Drosophila melanogaster: one gene and its partners. The protein of the gene in region 1 interacts with the protein of each later gene in a pairwise test. Each region holds a gene or a part of one and is shown on either strand. Other genes may lie near its edges. The genes, in order: CG34334, gudu, CG14384 and Gas8.

Region 1 (4,950 bases):
AAAATACATAAATATTTCGTGAAGCCAGTCTACATCGCCGTCGAAAATTCATCTGTATTTTGGTAACTTGCTTGTCCACTACACTAAGGAGTCAGAATCTGCTCGGATTAGGAGTCTTCCAGGGCAACCTCCCTTGACTCCCGTAGATTCCCTGGACACTCTGAAGACGTCGACTGCCACAATTATTTCAACGGCCGTCAACCGCTGGTGCTAGGATATATTATTCCATTAGGCTTTGTTTTGTGTAAATTATTTTGAAACGCTTACCTGAATTTGTCACTAAATCCGGTGTCAATCGCGAGTCTGAATTGTCGTCGGTGGGCCAGTGGGCCAGATGATTTTTCTAGTGGGACAAAAGTCACATTTTTAAATATTTAAATACAGTTTTTTCTTTTTTAACTGACTCTAACTGACTATCCGTCTGAGCCTATAAGAGTTAGCATAAGAGTTTTTGCTTGTTTAAACATATGTTTCAGCGCGTGGTCATTAAATATTTGGCGTAACGTTTCGTATTTGTTTATTGACCTTTAATTTAAACAAAGTAAAACAAATTCAATTAACAACTTATGTTAACTTTAGGAAATAAATGTTCGAAATAAAAATAATGTGTTTGTGACCCGCATTTTTATGTTTAGTAAAAACAAGTGTTCGAAGTTTTTATTTTACCAGGTATGGCATTACGCTTGAATTTAGCATATTTGGACTATAACTAACCTTGTTCACTCTTGTTCGAGCTGATTTAAGCATTTATGTAACGTGTGAGCCTTTGTGTCGTTGATTTTTTCAGAATTATATCCAACTTTGACCAACTGTAAAGTCTGTCAGCCCCAAAGCGTGTGCTTCATTCCAATTGGCTTAGCGAAACTGATCCCGCATACCAAAAGTAATTGGTATTTGGTACACTTTTAAAGAATCGTCAGCTTTCTGAAATATAATCTGAAAGAAAATCAACTAATTTTGACCATTTCAAAGCAGTCGACGATCTAGGGTGATCGCTGCCTAATGAGTGATTGAAGAAAAAAATAAAGAATGTAAGAGTTAATCAGTAATTATATGTATGTGTAATAAAACAAGAAAGCATACCGGAATGCTTCACCTTTGGGGAGATGGGGCTGTCCTAGTCGTTTGAAGCGACACCGACGTGTTGATAATGAGTGATGTCCGCAATAATCCTTCGTGCAACCTAGGTCGGTTGGGTGCCAGTACTTTAAGATTTTGTCGTTTATGTAAATTGAATTCGTTTTTTTTCTTCTACTTTTTTTTGCTTGTCTGCTTTTTAGAGATCATAGATATGTAGGGTCGATAGTCGATGTCGATAGTTATCGATGCCTATGTTGCAAGCTGTGTGGCACTCCGCCCTGAGAAAAGCCTGAGCTAGGGGCACTGCCACTAAAAAAAAGAAGGCAGTTCGTAACATACATATATAGGTTAAGTTAATCTGCGAATCTGCACACTTTCTTACAACTAACTTCCTATCTTTTATACTTCCTGTGAGCCCGACGTTTATACGGACAGACAGACGGACATTGTTCATTTGATCAAAATTTGATATGTCATATTAATTGCTAGTTATAATAAAGAGATCATAGTTTCGGTGCTTTTAATTATAAAGTGTTTTTACTTGGTATACAACAAATTTGTATTTAAATGTATAGTAACTGGAAGGGTATATAAACTTTGTATTACCGATGCTACCTTCCTTTTCTTGTCTGTGTATATTTAAATTATGTTGACAGGTGATAGGAATGCCTTCCCTGAATGACGATAGTTACAGCCCTGATTTCGAAGTGTTGGACAACGATTATATCCTTAATGTGGTCTGGTCTAGTGTTAAATTGCTTGAGAATTCGTTACTGCGGTGACCTAAGGTGGCAACCACAAAGCAAAAAAGTTGTTATCTATCATTGAGTGGCCTTTGCTTGGTCAGCTTTTATTTTTATGACAGTTGTCAGACCAAGTTTTTACACGCCATTACATTTTCATAAGGCAGCCGTTCCCAACGTGTGAGTAACGGAGCATCAAATCAAAATAGTTTCGAAGGCCGTCATATTTGTTCGCAGTGAAAGTGAAATCTTGTGAAAATGACCAAGGTATCAGGGACGAAGGCAAAAGACGATGGCGAGCCAGCCACTAAGCGCGAACGCAAGGAGATGCATTCGCACAAGAAAGATCGCAGGGAGCGATTGGAACGCATGGAGCGCATGGACCGCAGGGACCGCAGAGACCGCAGAGAACGCAGGGACCGCAAGGACCGCAAGGACCGCAAGGACCGCAAAGAGCCAGCCAGAGGCCCCTCCTCCCGGATGAGGAACATCTCACCAATTCACTCGAATGCTTCGGAGAGCACTGAAGCAGACTGCAGCGACTCCAGCTACTCGGACTCGAGCTACAGCACCTCTGGATCGTCCAGCTGCACAAGCTTTTTGAGCTCCACCAGCAGCAGCTACTCGTCGAGCGACAGCGAGCCAGAGCCAGAAGGATCCGTCAAAAAGTTTGAGCGCACCAAGCACTCGTGTTGCCATTACCGACACCATCGTCGCCATAGGCGCCACCAAAACCCTCGTCATTCGCACCGTCGCCGGCACGTCACCCGTTGCCATCACTCGAATCACGGACGCTTTTCCAAGCGTTTGGCTAAAAAGAGTCGTCGTGGCATATCCGCCGCCAAGGGAGCTATCACGGTTAAGGAGGAGGTTGTCGAAAAAATTTCTCCTGCTTCAGCCCCTGGGGTCATTCAGATACCGGCACCCATTCCGCTGCCCGTGCCGGCACCCATTCCGGCTGTCCTGTCTGTTTCGGAGGCACAACCGCGTTCCCACTCCCGTTCGCAATCGCACTCCCATCTCCATAGCCATTCCAGCTCCCATAACAATCCCCACCCGCAACCCGTTCCGGCCCCTGTTCCGGTACCAATTCCTGCTCCGATCGCCATGCCAACTCCTATGAGGGAGCCAAGCAGCGTGGTATTGGACCGCAAGTCTCGTAGACGCAGCTCCACCTCGCAGAACATCGCCTCGGCCGCCAGCAGTTCTATCGGCACCAACCAAGCCATCATCCAGTCTAGCACTATAACCATTACAAAGACGATTGCCAACGCCACTGGTATGGCCGAAACCAATTCAAGTGGCGGCGCTAGCATCTCCAGCACAAAAAATAAGGGGGACAGCAGTACCGGCCAATCTTCAAAGACGGTTGTCACCAATAACGCGGGCAGCAAGGCGGGTTACCAAGCCCCCAAGACTTCAGTGGCAAGCACATCTTCGAAAGCGGTGGTCAGGTCTAACGCAAGCGCCAGTTCAGGCCACGGGAACCACACCAGTTCCAGCTCGAGTTTCACCCAGCTGCACTCCAGTGCCAGGCCCTCGACAGCCAAAGATCACGACAAGAGTCCTCAGCAGAACCGCTCAGGCAGCTCAGGCCCCAAGGGCAAGTCGTCGAAGATCAACGATCCTCCACGTCGTGGCTCTTCACCGTCTGCTGGTGCAGAACCTACTCGCCAAAAACAAAGCGTTCAAAATCAAAATGGGCGGAATTGCAGCAGCCAGTGGAACCATCGGCGCGGTGAAGGGGATGGAGAAGGAGCAGAAGCAAGTGGACGGGGCTACAGAGCCGTGGGTGAGGTAAACAAAGTGGCCTACAGAAACGGAAAGGACGCCTTCAAATTTCGCCAACCCGTGCGCAATGTTCGCCTGCACATTAAGGGATTGACGCGTCAGGTGACCAAGGAGCACATAACCGAGATATTTGGTCACTTCGGCGCCCTGACGGCAGTCGACTTTCCAATGGACCGTTTCCAAGGGCGCCAGGGACGCGGATACGCCTTTGTGGAGTACTCACGTCCAGAGGACTGCGCCAGTGCCATCAAGCATATGAACGGCGGGCAGATCGATGGGAAGCTGATCAGGGTGTCCGCCTTTCAGGAAAGCATGCTAAAGGCGCCGTGGCGTCAATACCGACGTTACTCGCCAGTCAACCGGCGCCAGAGCCAGCGTACGTTGTCCCGCTCGGGCTCGTCGTCACGCTCTCGATCGCCGTCCCGCTCTGCGTCCGGCTCGGAATACGGGTCGCGGTCCTCCCACTCTCGCGTCCGCTCTATGTCGGGATCGCGCTATTCTCGGCGCAACCGTTCGCAATCGTGCTCCTACACTCGCTCATCGCCGCGCTACGGGCATTACCATCGCCCTAGACGCGATTCGCGTTCGCCCTAGATAGGCGGACCTGTCTAATGTTGCAAAAGGAAGGCGAGATTAAGCCAGACAGGATTTTCAGGACTCTGCCAGATGCCTATTTTATTCCATTCCAACTTCAAATACAAATGTAGACTTGATGGACATCGTGCGTTTTAAAAGTTACTTATTAATACCAGTCTAATTTAAAAACATTGTTGGGCTTAAAATAAATAAAAATAAAAATCCATGCTCCGCACAAAAAAGAATTGTGAGGTATATCAGAAAATAATCATCGTATGTAAGGTGGTTATCTGTTAGTAATAATATAAAAGCCCACTGCAATCAATCGATTACCAAAAGACAGGTAAATGGTATTTCGTAGAGAACGCTTAGAAAAAAAGTACCGCTATTCGATGTAAAATCAAGAACAAACCATATCGAAAGTACGGTAAGCCCAAAACTTGTATAAGGGTATAATATATATAATAGGGTATAATAGATTCGTTGAAAAGTATGTAACAGACATAAGGAAGCGTTTCCGACTATATTAAGTATATATATTCTTGATCAGGATCAATAGCCGAGTCGAGACAAGTCGTCTGTCCGTCTGTCCGTATGAACGTCGAGATCTCAGAAACTATAAAAGCTAAAAGGTTGAGATTCAGAATACAGATTGTAGAGACAAATGCGCAGTGAAAGCTTGCTGACCCGTGTTGCCACGCCCAATCGCCAACAAACCGCCCACACACTTTTTTTTGGTTTGTTCATAATTTTATTAGTC
Region 2 (4,725 bases), on another chromosome or scaffold:
AATACGGATGGAATCCTCACGCCCGATTCGGGATCCTGTTCCTTCTACGATGCCTCGTCTTTGGGCGTCGGTCGACATTCCTTTCTGGTCATCGGAAGCGCCTGTTTGGAGGAGAGCAACGGTGACCATACGGAGTCTACGGATGAGATTACGAGTAGCAGTTTGAGCAGCTCACGCAGCGACATCGATGCTCCCTTCCGTAGTAGAGCTTCGACGGACGGCACCCTGTTGTCCCGACCACGTAGATGGCGGTATCCACCGCCGGGATGCCTGCTGCCACACACGAATCGCGTGGAGCGACGGATGAGCATTTCCACCAGGGGCAGTAATGCCAGTTACTAGAGTGGAATTTTATGCAGGGTGGGTCGAGCTTAGTTAGTCAAAATATGTAGCGACAAATATATAATTATATAGCTAGATGTTATTGTCATGGAAAATGAAACATATTTTTCTGGGATTTCTGGTTTAAAAATTTACTAACTTATTAATTTATTTGCTAAAAATGCAAGAAATTGGTAGCATCGGCATACACACATATATTTCGTCAAATACAATTAAATAACTTAACAAAGAAAAAAAAACAGGAAGCTAGTCATCGTCGATTTTAAGCAGATATTCCTCGGCACGCAAGGCCAATTCGCGGATATTGCGCAGACAACCAGCGGCGGCCAACTGGAGCTCCTTGTTAGTGGATCCAATGCACTCCAGCAGGAAAGGAACAACTCCACTCTGAAGTAAAATAAAAGAATCTAAATGAGTTGCTAAGTGTGATTAGGTAGAAGAAATGTACCTGGTGCATGGTAATGCAGTTCTGCGGATCCATCGATAGCTTCTCCAGTGCCATGGCCGTGCTGCGGTGCACCAAGGGATTGTCGCTGGTCATGTAGGTGACAATCGGAGTGACAGTACGCAGACGTCCCAGTTCCTCCGTATTATTACCGAAGCAGGCACAGGCGGCCACGGCAGCTGCCAAGTTCATTCGAAGGAGGTCGTCGGTGGTCTGGACGAGATCGGCTAGCTTGTAGATGACTTTCAGATCGGTTAAGATGGCTAGATTGGTTTGATCCTGGGCAATTGTTGCAATGGCAGCACAAACGGCGGATAAGACCATGATATCCTTGGACTTTAGCAGACCCACCACCAGTTCCATGGCGCCAACCAAGCTCCTGACCAATTCAGCGGAATCGTTGGCATTTCGAACACAGGGACATATGGCGTAAGCCGCATGGGCCTGAACCCTAGTTGTGGGGTTCTTCAATAGCGACCATATCAGCCTGACCGCATCCAGATCCTCAAGGATTCTCATGCTGTCCGGATCTTCGGCACACTCCTTCAATCCCTTGGCTAAATTTTCCAGAAGAGGGGCGTGAGAACTGTTGAGTAGGGAAACCATTGCTGGTAATCCTCCAGCCTGACGCAGTTGCTCCCTATTGCTTTGAAATCTCACACATTCAGATATAGCTCCGGTCACGTTGGTCAGGACCTCGTCACACTCATCATTTAGCAAGGCCACCAGGTGGTTCACCGTCCTGAGTTGATCCAGCACTTTGACATTTGCATCGGTTACGGCACACATCCAAATCGCTCCAGTGGCGCCTCTCAATAAAGGCTTATTTTCCCTCACATTCTTGTCCTTTATGATAGTTACCAAAGGTTCCAAGCCCCCAGCCTCCCTCACCAAATCCCTGGTGGTTCCGTCGAAGGCGCACTTGTAGATCGCTGTACTGCCCTCCATCTTCAGCTCGGTATTTTCGGAACTCAGATGGCTCACAATGTCGGGAATCATGCCCTCGGTGGTGATGGCCAGTTGGAACTTCGGCTCCGAGGAGCACTTTCGAACGGTGCCCATTATGGGAATGACGACATCGATGTGACAGGACTTAAGGAGCTGAGCCATCAAAGGAACAATTCCGCTCTTGCGCATCTGCTCCATGTTGTGCTTGGAATCGGCCAGAGTGAAAAGAGCCCGGGCTCCAGCGCGTGTCATATCGAGAGATTCCAGATCATCTGGACTCAATTGGTCACGAGGCGTCTTTAGAATGCTATAATATAATTAGGTTTTTTTTTAATTATTTCTTATATGTGGTGATGTAGTATGAAGCACTTTATCCAATGCCAACTCACCTCAACTTGATGTCGATGAGATCCACCAGCTTGGGGATTCCTCCGCAGGTGCGCACATACTTTCTGGCCAGTCGCACCTTGCACACATTGGCCAATGTCTCGGCGGCCATGGTTTTTAGGTCCTTCATGGAAGAGTTTAGGATGTCCACAATGAGGGGAATGCCATCCAGATCTACGATGGTCTTCCTAATATCGATGTTCAGTGTGATATCTGAGAGAACTTTGAGGGCGCCCAAACAGCACTTGGTGTCGCTGCACTCCAGGATGTTAACCAAGACATCGAGTCCGCCGATGTCCGAGATGGCGAACTGATTGATCTGGGTGCTCAGATCGTAGTCCTTCAAGCAGCACAACGATACTATAGTGGCTGTCTGATTGCCCGCCTTGATGTATTTCACCAGTTTTTGGATATTATAATAGTCAGCCGGAATCTCAGCGGCTCGCGCCACTTCCTTCCAGCGTTCCTCCTCATCCGTAGACGATTCCACCTCCGTGGTATCCGAGTCCTCGGCGGCCACCTGGCGCTTATCCTTTGAGAATCTGTTGGGACAGGATCCGCACTGTTCTTTCTTCTTTCGACTCCGATTGTGGGACGTTCCGCTGCTAGTGCCAATCATCCTTTCGCGTTGGATTACTCACAGATTTGGCCAATCGTATTCCGGAAATATCTGTCGGTATGCCAGCTTTCTTCAGTTTTGTATCGGAATTTATTGTGTTTTTGTGTGGGAGAACTTTATTAGGCCAGGCAATTGATTTAATAAGGCGTGTTGCTAAGGTAACTGAGATAATTTCAAAAATACCGGGCTAGGGCAAAGGTATCTTAGCTCAAACTTGTAAGTTTTTTTTTATTTTAATAAATTTTTAACTACAGCTATCCAAGGCATTTAAAATTTATTTTATTCGCTTGGCCTTCGTTGAATTCGCTTAGCGGTTAAAATTAACCGTTTAGCAAATACATCGACCTGACTTAGCACAGACAATAACCATTCATAGTGCAGACGACCACCGCGAAATTTACCCGTTTCCGAAACTATCGAGGGTATCGCAGGGAAATCGACTGCCATTCCATCACCAGCTTGTGTTGTTTGTTTTTTATTTTCAATTAAAATCCGCGATCATCCGCAGCTGCAGCTGCATTGTTTGTTTACCAGCCGTCGTAGCACCAGCCAACTGAATTTCGTGTCCTGAGATGGGAAATGCGAGTGGCAAGCGGGAGACGGATAATCTCTACAATTCGGAAGAGCTACGCATGCTGGAATCCGCGTACAAAAACGCCTCTGGCGGAGCACTTGAGAAGTTGACCCAAGACAGATTGGTGGTAAGTCAAGTAAATCCAGTTACCGTGCCACGTGTGCACTGCGAAAATCAATGGCAACTGCATTCTGCATTTGCGGAAGGGTCAGGGTCACAAGTTCAAGGACGCGCGGAGTGAACTTTCTTCGGCAAAAAAAGAGAAATCGGGACTTTCGAGTGCATGACAAACGGCCGTCCATCCACCTGCTGCGATGGCCACCCTTCACTTGAATGGGTATATCCTTTAGGGCATTAATTTGTTGTTGTCACTAACTCCTATTTCGAGGATTAAACATTGAAGTTAATCATAGTACTATGTTCCGAAAAAGAAGCTTAGTTATATAAGAGAGTGAGTCGCAACATTATCCGGCATTATACAAAAGTTCAAAGTTTCTAAACCTTATTTTAATACAGTTCTTTTTCGATTTAAAGTGCAAACCAGGAAATTTAACAGAGTTTATAAAAAGTAAATTATTCAACTTGTTTAAAAATGTAATTTTCTAAACTAGTCAGTCCTATTTAGATTAAATGTACACGTAACTTTCCAAAATTGTTATTTTAACCCATTTAGTTAAATCAATCTGATCATACACAATTTATGCTATAATTTTTCCGATGCGGGTTCAAGGCCCCAGATTTGTGTTTTATTTTTATCACAGCACAGATGACGGAAATGCAACCACTCAAAAAATGTTTGTTTGTAACCAGATGATGATTTTTCCTTATAATATTTCCATCTATTTATAGCTCGTGTTTGATTATCACAGCGCTTCCTAGGGTATAGCAAAATTCGATATCTTCAACTCGGGCGTTATCAGTTTCGAATTGATAATTCCTGGGCCAGTGCGAACGTGTCCATAATTTGTCTAATTTGTTTGCTGCCGCATTTCACTGTTTGTCTTTTGCTTTGTTGAATTTGCTTGCTAACGAATTAGTCGTGATTTCAATGACTGGGGTCGTCAATTAGGGCCAAACCCAATTGAATTAAAAATAAACCATATGCTTAACCCGTTTACAGCATGGCATGTGAAATAGTTGATTTTTAGAATGAGGAAATTATAAGACTTGCATTCATATAGAGTAATTTAAGCGGAAACTCTCTAAATTGAAACTTTACATACATTGAAGTAGTATTTATTTTCATAAAACTTGAGAGACTTTGTTTTCAGTCAAACCAAATTATTATTCATTGTACGTCCTTCAATGGGTTAATCTGTGTCAGCGCTTCCCAGACCTTCGTTCCCTGCAAGAATTTGCTGACAGCAGCGGGAAAATTATGTTTACGTATCCGGCGCGCATTTTGTTTAT
Region 3 (4,294 bases), on another chromosome or scaffold:
TACAGGACACCATTGTCGTGCCCAGCCTGTATGCCTTCCACTCGGACGCCCGTATTTGGTCGGATCCGGAGCAGTTCCGGCCGGAGAGATTCCTGGACGCGGATGGCAAGCTCTGCCTGAAACTGGATGTCTCGCTGCCCTTTGGAGCGGGAAAACGGCTCTGTGCCGGCGAGACATTTGCGCGCAACATGCTCTTCCTGGTGACAGCGACCATGTGCCAGCACTTTGACTTCGTCCTGGGCCCCAATGATCGGTTGCCCGATCTCTCCCAGAACCTCAATGGACTGATTATTTCGCCACCAGATTTCTGGCTGCAACTACAGGATCGGCATTGAAAGTAGCCAAGATATTAGAGTTATCTATTTTTAAGACAAAGTAATTTTACTGATTACGTTAGCTAGTTTGCTTGGATATTTTTTGAGGAATTTTATTCCGTCACATTTCAAAAATATTCTAGAATTGCCCAATACTATTATGTGATGCACCACAACGAACTATTTATTTTAACATTGTCGTTTACTCATATCGTGTGGTATCAAAGTTCGCGAACGGAACTTGTTGAGAAGATGCGATTGGAATGAGATGGGTTTCTTAGAAATCCTCATTATCGCTGTATACAATGCAATCAGAATCTGAGCTGGTGGATGAAAAACTCAATGAGCGAACCAGCGAGACCATCGAAGAATGTATTGAGGGATTGGGGGACTGGATAGCATTGTACTCGGATTCTGAATCCGGATCGTATCCTTCCTCATCGTCCATTTCCTCTTGCGGGTTCACGAATGAGTTGTCCAAAGGATCCACCTCGTTGGCGGCTTCCATCGTTGCACCCTGAGTCTCATTGCGCAACTCGATCACTTCTTGGCGAATCTGGTTCTGCTCCTCCGCAATGGTGGCCACCAGTTGTTCGAGACTGCAGATCTTGGCCTCATATTCGGTCAGTTTCTTCTTCAGCTGACAGTTTTCGGCCCGACAGTTGGCCAATTCCAAGCAGGCGCACATGGCGATCTTGACGTCATCCGAGGTTGCGGACCTGGTACTGTATGCAAACCACATTGTTACCACAAGGAACACATACGCCGGATATCGAAAGCGATCTCTTGGCCGAAACTTACATGTTTAAGCCACTGGAGTTCTTATTATGAACCGGGCAATTGAGGGACATTTTGAGACTTGAAATTTATAGGCAGTTCAGTTTAGCAATTGTCTTACGACAAAATCAACTTTGACCTATTTGTACTCGGAAAGTTCACCCAGAAATATTTGACACTGTTTTACTGTTCTCTTCGATTCGAATGCAAATATGAGCTTCTGAAATACAGAAATTCAAGGTCCCTAGATTTTAATCTCCATTTTAAATGGGTCGCAAATCGAATATAAATCAAAAGATACAGTCAAATTACTGCAGATTGTTTTACTAGCCGAGCTGATAACAAAAATAAAATAGCAAACTGCAAGATAATGTGCAAACACTTTGACCAAAATGCCCTTATCAATATTAAGACAATTGAGTGGCAACAAAAAAAATAGAAAATAGAGTTGAAAACAAGGTGATAATTGTTTGGTTACGAAAACGACAACTTGTTCGCTATGAACCCAGTGTTTAAAATTCACTATCAAAACAAGTGAAGTTGACATACACATGAAAATATATCTTACTTAAAAGTAACTTTTATAAATAATAAAATAAATGTTAATATTATTTAAACTACTGGCACTTACGCCTTTTGGTGACTTCATCAGCATGCATTCACGACTCGAGCGGTTGGAGCTGCTTTTCCGGGGACACCTATTGACGCTCCTTGGCTTGCAGGCCGGAGTCGTGGGCTTTCGGGAACACTTGGGCACTATTTTCTTGCGGCCGCATCCCATATGTTTGAGTTTCTCCGATTGACGCCGATGACGCGAAGTGGAGCTTTTGCTGAGACACCGTTTCTGGTACTGCAGGGTATTAACGAAGGGCAGAAGATAAAGTTCGCCGGTCAGGGGGAAAGTGTGTAATCCCTAGGAACTTACTTTCGATCGATACTGATTCTTTTCTCGCGAACTCAATGCATTCCAGTACCCCGCTCCCTGACGCAGTGACTCCTCCATTTGGAGGTGCGGGGATTTAAGATGTATAGCCACCGCGTAACTTAAAAAGCCGTTTGGATACGGTGCCATCTCTACTTATACTTTTCAACTAACGTACTGAAATTTAGGATGCTAAACTAAGAATTACGTACAAAACATTCGAGCTTGAAAAATTGAAAGGTACAAATTTGAGTTGAGTTGCTGTTGCTAACTGATAGAAGTGAAATCTCAAAACTACTTGTTTAATAATAATTGCCAGTTTCTGGATTTGATACACAACTCTTCGTTGGCCTTAGTTTATTATGATGTATATATTACAATTTGGTTAAAAACTGTTCGCTTAGCCTAGCAACAAGCGGTTTAACTTCAAAACTTACAGATAATTTGTCATTACACTTAGCCGTATTAGATAAGCGAGAGTCGTTCCGTTCCGAGGACCCTTTCTCCAAATTTATATTGCTTCGACTCCTAAATATCAACTTACGAACTAATTGATTTATATTCACGTTGCGCATGGACCTGCATCCATGCCAGTAACTTGGCTAATACTGGCCACTCCCGCCGATCCCCAAATCACCCCGATCCCCCCAAGGTCCTTGGCCAACTCCTCCCTCGATTATCCTCGCCATTCCCCAAACACGCAGGTGAAAGGATTTAGGTTTTGGTTTGGTTCTAGTAGTAGGCCTGCTTTATGGCCGCACTGGTGATAAGGAAAGCGGAGCCAATCAGCATGAAGGTGATGATTTTGAGAGCACTTGGTCTACCGGAAGAATCTGCGAAAAGCGTGACATTCATAGATCATCCTTACTCAATTGGTTTTGCAAGGACACTTACTTTTCTTATTGGGCATCACGCGAATGCATTGATTCTGATTGGCGTTCGCCGAGTAGCCCAGCTTGCACTGGCACACGGAGTTGCGGCACTCGACATTCTCGGGATCCTTTTCTACATAGCACTCGGTGGCCTTGGTGCACGACTCTCCCAGCTCTGCAAGATTGCAACATATTAGAATTATTACAAATAATTAAAGAAAGCTTAGCGACTCAATTACCTCGCTTCGTCTCACAGACTCCGTTCTTAGCATGCTGCTCATCGTTGCATCCACACTTGCCCTCCGAATTGCAGCTCGCCAGGAGCGGCTTGCACTGCTCATCCTCGACGCACTCGTCCTCCAGCTCCTCGGCTATAATGAAATGTAATGTGGGGCAGGGCATAATTTTGCTGCTTTGCATTTCAGCTTCTGAGTACTAACCCTCTTTTAGGCACTCATCCTTAAAGTGCACGTATCCCTTTCGGCACTGGCAGGTGCGCGACTGATCCTCCTCGTCCTTCTCCTGGCATTCGGTGTTCTCAGGTATGCAGTCATCCTCCACCGAGCAGTCGGCACCGATGCCACGCATACACTGATCGTCCTTCTCAAAGTAGTTGTCCGCACAAACGCACACGCGATTGGAGCAGACGGAGTGATCCACAGGACAGCCATCGTTCGACTCACACTCGGCTCCCAGGCCACGTTTGTATTCGCAGAGCTGCTTGATGGCATCGTAGAGAGCGTACTCCTCGCAGGTGCACCTCCTCGGAATCTCCGGGTGGCAATAGGAGGCGCCAAATGGACTGCATTGGCTGTTCGAGGTGCAGGATAAGTGGTATTGAATGGCTGTTTTGATGGAAAAGGATATATCTTAAGTGCGATTCAGCAGCTAGCGTTGGAACCACCTACGTTTTCTGCAATTGCGCAGATCCCGCTCGTAGAAATAATTCTTTTGGCAATTGCAAGTTTTGGTCAACTGATCGAACTCGTACTCGCACTCATCCGTGCTCTCCGCAATTTCCCCCAGTTCTAAAGAATTTTCATTTCAGTTAATTTCATTAATAGAAGAATTAAATTGGGGGAAACCCAGTTTACTCACCGGCAAAACATTTTCCATTGCGGGCATAGTAACCCTGGCGACATAGGCAAATATTCTTGGAACAAATCGAGTGCGGCAGACCCGAGCATGTCTTTCCATTATCCGTGCAGCTGCTGCCATCTAAATGGGAAAAAAAATAGTTGAAATATATTTAAGATTGCCTAAGCATTGAGAGACTTCATTTTTTTGGGGGCATTCTTGGATACTCACACTTCTTCTCATCGGCATCGTCGTCATCGCGGCTGGAACCCAGCGTGGAGTAGGTCTTTATATCCTCGTCATCGAATCGGAAGAGGGCGGGCAAGCGGCGT
Region 4 (4,908 bases), about 19 Mb from region 1:
CGATTTTCAACACACCCAAGTTGCATCAACTGAGTTGGCATTTATTGGACTTCTGCTACGAGAACGAAAACAATATGTAATAAAACATTTAATTTAATGTATAAATTTTTACCCAGAGTAAAGCTCTGACAAAATAAAAGAACTAAAACTTAACAGATTGCATTTTCTTTAAAAGGAAATTACGGAACTCAATTAGAATCAAAAGAAAACGCAAGACGTAAAAACATTAATTTGAAAACAATATATGTTATGCATTGGCTTTGCGGTTTTATTATTTTATATTTGTCGTGTGTGGAAACCAGCAGGTTTGTTCGAAAATAAGGAATAATAATAATTTAATCATTTTCGTAATTGAATTGGTAGAAAATCTCAGTAGGTGTCTGCTGGTTGGTTGTATCGAATTGAATTTTTCACGATGGCTGCCCATATGCTATTCAATCAACAGGGAAGAAGCTCTAAGGAGCGTATCATTACTTCGCAGCAGAACTGAGATCTTGAGGCTTTCCTACGATATACACGAGATTCCTTTATGTTTGATTGGATCGTGCATAGACGATACTCATCTTATTAATTGTTTACCTTTTCTCGCTTCTTAAAGAATTCTCCTTAAAGCGCGCACACACCTCGGTCCTGATAAGCAAATTTTCTAATCATATTTTAAATACTTTCACTTTCAATCAGTGCTTTTTCAGCGGCTACCCATTTTTGCCACCCCTTTAACCCTTGGCAGCCGTTACGGAATTCAATGGGCCATGACCGACCGCAGCCGTTGGCAAGAATAAAATGAAACAAAAATTATGCAGGGCAGATGGAAAAGTGTCTAAAAAGGGTTGAAGGTACACAGGAGGAAAATTGGGTAACTTAACGGCTTAGATTGCAAAAAAAAAAAAACAAAACTTGTTTCCCATTTTATATGTTGGATCATATGTATTTTGTTCCGTGTCGCTTCGCCACTTCAAGTCTTGGCTATAAACATTTTTATAACGTGGAAATAATAGTTTTTCTGTCTGTAAGCCAGCCACAGCGTCTTTGCTATCAAAAATTGACTTTTAATGAAAACAATTGAAAATTCTCGGTGTCTATGTGCCGGGTCCGAAAATGTTTTCCCATGCGAAAGCCACGGGATACTTGTCTCAACTGCCGACGTACTGCTCAACTGGCCAAAACTGGCTGCGGTTATTAATTTCAATTAAAGCATTTAACCGAAGAGCCCACCGACTTTTGTTTACCCAACCTGCCCCGCCCCTAGACAGCATTAATTAAGGCGGGAAAGTGGCGGAGTTTCTGGGGGAAATTCCAGGCCATAGGTGCTGTGCTATTCAACGGACTAATAAAGTTGATTCGACCGAGATTTTCAGGACCATCAAGCAATTCTCAAGCAAAAGGAGAAGCCGAAGATCTGTCAGCTTCCTGATAATATCGTATTTCACGAAATCATCAAATTAGCCAGTAGTCAAGAGCAGAGACTGCAGTGCCAACAGCATTTAAAGTCCGTCCAACAAACGGCAAATAAACAAACAGATGCAGGGAAAATTCTGGGGCCAATGTGCAGGGTGGAAAATTAAGAAAACCGGGGCAGAGAAAATTCAAGAGACCATTTATAGGAAGCAGACAGCAGACGGCGACAAGAGAAAGAGTCTGGTCTGGTCTGGGCTGGCTTTTTGGTTTTCACTGGCTTGGGCAGCAAACTAATGTCGGGCACACGCGTATACCAAAGTAGATGTGGTTTATTTTGTTGAATGTATACCTGCATTTTGTATTTAGAAATATATATAATATGATATTCGAATAATATCACTACGCTTTAGTTAGATGTTTTTCAGCACATGAAAATCTTCCCGCCCCTAGTAACCCAGTTGATAACTGCAAAAGTTTCCCCAAATTTTGAATTTTGCCAGTTCAAAACCATTTGTCCCTGCCGTAGAAATATAATTGAGAGAAGACTGAACCGAAAAAACAACGCTTCAACCTTTAACCTCTTCTTTCGGTTGCCCGGAGACACACACACACACACACACGAATACACGAGACACCCACAACACACACATTGGCAACTGCTTTATCGATAAGTTTGTTTGGTTGTTGGACCGTAGAACGCCAATAGCTCAGTTGGCAGGAAAGACCAAGCCGAAGTGGTTCTTATTCTTAGCAGAGGAATCGAAGCAGAGGAAGAAGCACCGGCAGCAGTATGGTGAGCAATAAGTTGTTAAATCACATTAACAAAGCAGTGCACCCATTCGGCCGCCTTATGGCCGCACTGCTTGGCCAGCAGCAGTTTCCGCCTCTATCCGATTTCCGGTTCCATGCCGCTGCTCCTTTTGGTCTCAGCTTTTCAGATTTTTTTTTTCAGTTGCACTGCAAGCGGCGCATTCAATTTTTCATGCCAAGCCAGGCTGTTGCTGTTGCTGCATATACAAACTGCACTTTGCGAGTGGGCTACAGTGAAGCCTCGGCAAGGCGCTGTCCTGCTACTGCTAGTCAAAATGTCAACGTTGGTATGGCGCATTCATTTCAAAGCAACTTTAGTAGTCGTTCTGTCTATATAAGAACATATGTAGGGAGAACCTAAGTTAGTATAACTATTCCCTTTACAGTGGCTCCACTGTGTATTTATAGCAGTCAAGCAGGAGTCCTCCTCTCCAACTCCTGCTGGTTGTCTATTTTCGATCATTTGTTTATGTATAGACCTGCCCCCAACATATATCCGCCTTTTTTCCATCGGCTACATATATATGTTTATATTTATATTTATATTTATATATATATATATATAAATATATACATTGCGCCTTTGGACATGCGAAAGCGCGGTTGGCGACGGGCGCAGGCGGCTTCGAAAATTTTTGAATAATTTGCAGTCATAAAATATGCAATAAGCCAGCAGCCAACAGCCAACAGCTGTTGCGAAATTGTTTTGAAAGCCGCGCCATCACATTATTTAAAGCAACGATGGCAGTTGCCCGCTTTCTCCGCCTTTCGCTGCCTTTCTCCCACGTGAAGGGAATCGAATTAAACGTTGTTAAAGGATTTAAAGTGCGAAAAATAGTGGCGAACTGCAGACGACAATTGCACAGTCAGTACCCCATTTCCATTCTCCTGCGAGTAGAACTCTTTCAATTTGCATAGACAAATGTGGAAATTCTTTGCTGCAAGTTCAGCCGAGACTTCAAGTTGAGTTTCCTGCTCGGCTCGGATTCTTTAAATGAATTAAATAAGATTTTCTCTTGTAACGTGCGTTCTCTTTTGAGATTAAAACTAAATCAAAATAATAATTTCATTTGAACTTATTTTCTTACAGCCGCCTAAAGGGAAAAAGGGCAAAAAAGGCAAAAAATTGCCAGGTAAGTAAAAAGCTCGAGTAAACTGCACTTTAGCATAGATTTATGAATTCCCAAATTTAACTACTTTGAACGGTAATTGAAGTGAAGGATATCAGTTAATTGTTGCAAAATTCATTTAGTGCCCTCTTTAAGAACACCGGCTGTTAAAGACCCTCAACGAGTAGACAAACTGAACAAGGACGAGGACTGCCTGGCAATTCATTTTCGGAACATTAATGGCAGCAGGGTGCCACCACTGGGTAGTTGGGTAGTTGGATATCTGGGCAGCCGGAATGGCGGACATTGGTCATTCAGGGCAATTTATAAAGGCCAAGCAAAACAATTAGTAAATAACGATAATCTGCGTGAGGAGAGAAGCAAAAGAGAAGGCAGGACGCGGGCGCAACGATAGGGACGATAGGAGCGTTGAGGACAAGAAATTCCCGATGCAATTGCTCTGACTGCAGCCTTGCAGTCAGAAAATTTAAAGGCAAAAAATGGGGAGGGGGGGTTCCAAACTGACCACTTAATTTGCACGAGTGAGCACACTGTAGGTTCCACAAATACCCAACCATCCTCCGCTCTCTGGGATCTCTCTAACGCACATAATTGTTTCTGTGCGTGCACTGAAAAACGCTCTTACTCGTGGAACGCAAGGAAACTCCTAGTGTATCGTATTATTATAGTTATATCATCGATTTGTTTATGCCACACACTTATCTTAACACATGTCTCTAAATAGTTTACACGCGCTCCTTCACTTTGACTTCAAATTGTCTTTGCAATGCAATGTCTTTGGTCTTTTTTCCACCGTGTGGCATCTAGTTCGTCTCCTGGTAGTCCTGTTGGTCCTGTTGGTCCTAGTAGCCCTTCCTAGGCCGAGTCCTGGCACCAGCCGGCCAACGATGCCAATTACAGAAAACAATTACAACACGGTCTGCTGTTGGGTCACATATGCGGGCAGCGGCTAAGGGAAGGGGGGGGGGGGGCGTGGCAGGGGTAAAAATGGACGAAAAAGGGGCAAAAGGGGGGGGGAGGAGAGGGTAACCAGGCGTGCCGCTCTCATTAAATAGCCATAAGGACGGGAGCCCCCAATATGCGGACTAAACTTTTCACGGACCCCTAGCCCAATATTAGAAAATAACCAAGACAAAAAAATTCCTGTTCACACATGAACACGAATATATTTAAAGACTTACAATTTTGGGCTCCGTTCATATCTTATGTAAATGAATCGAGAGCGATAAATTATATTTAGGATTTTGTTATCTAAGGCGACATGGGTGCATTGCTCAAAAACATGTAATTTAAGTGCACACTACATGAGTCAGTCACTTGAGATCGTTCCCCGCCTCCTAAAATAGTCCCTTAGTGGGAGACCACAGATAAGGTCCTCGCCGCTCAAGATAGGCAGATGTGCCCGAGCGTGGGACCTCGATAAGGCGGGGACTATTTACGTAGGCCTCTGCGTAGGCCATTTACTTTAAGATGCGATTCTCATGTCACCTATTTAAACCGAAGATATTTCCAAATAAAATCAGTTTCTTACAAAAACTCAACGAGTAAAGTCTTCTTATTTGGGATTTTA

The links.
Region 2: the proteins of CG34334 (region 1) and gudu interact in a two-hybrid assay, tested with the Drosophila melanogaster proteins (one large-scale study listed by BioGRID).
Region 3: the proteins of CG34334 (region 1) and CG14384 interact in a two-hybrid assay, tested with the Drosophila melanogaster proteins (one large-scale study listed by BioGRID).
Region 4: the proteins of CG34334 (region 1) and Gas8 interact in a two-hybrid assay, tested with the Drosophila melanogaster proteins (one large-scale study listed by BioGRID).

The regions. Positions count from the first base shown.
Region 1 is NC_004354.4:22,870,935-22,875,884, forward strand, and holds CG34334 (uncharacterized protein), read left to right. Parts: upstream 1-1,877; 5' UTR 1,878-2,081; coding exon 2,082-4,208; 3' UTR 4,209-4,433; downstream 4,434-4,950.
Region 2 is NT_033779.5:7,386,692-7,391,416, reverse strand, and holds gudu (gudu), read right to left. Parts: upstream 2,910-4,725; 5' UTR 2,742-2,909; coding exon 2,125-2,741; intron 2,043-2,124; coding exon 791-2,042; intron 730-790; coding exon 589-729; 3' UTR 515-588; downstream 1-514. Other genes in the region: CG5160 (uncharacterized protein), read left to right, coding at 1-342; CG5149 (uncharacterized protein), read left to right, coding at 3,314-3,442. UniProt on the Drosophila melanogaster protein: Important for spermatogenesis where it may have a role in sperm individualization.
Region 3 is NT_033777.3:12,965,438-12,969,731, forward strand, and holds CG14384 (uncharacterized protein), read right to left. Parts: upstream 2,276-4,294; 5' UTR 2,164-2,275; coding exon of another isoform or gene 2,017-2,163; intron 1,942-2,016; coding exon of another isoform or gene 1,723-1,941; intron 1,312-1,722; 5' UTR 1,166-1,311; coding exon 1,116-1,165; intron 1,040-1,115; coding exon 592-1,039; 3' UTR 501-591; downstream 1-500. Other genes in the region: grsm (granny smith), read right to left, coding at 1,723-1,941, 2,017-2,163; Cyp304a1 (cytochrome P450 304a1), read left to right, coding at 6-335; CG7381 (uncharacterized protein), read right to left, coding at 2,746-2,846, 2,908-3,060, 3,125-3,256, 3,326-3,730, 3,794-3,913, 3,984-4,103, 4,194-4,294.
Region 4 is NC_004354.4:3,501,822-3,506,729, reverse strand, and holds the start of Gas8 (growth arrest specific protein 8), read left to right. Parts: upstream 1-1,878; 5' UTR 1,879-2,188; coding exon 2,189-2,191; intron 2,192-3,298; coding exon 3,299-3,341; intron 3,342-4,908. UniProt on the Drosophila melanogaster protein: Cytoskeletal linker which probably functions in axonemal and non-axonemal dynein regulation. May play a role in the spermatozoa motility.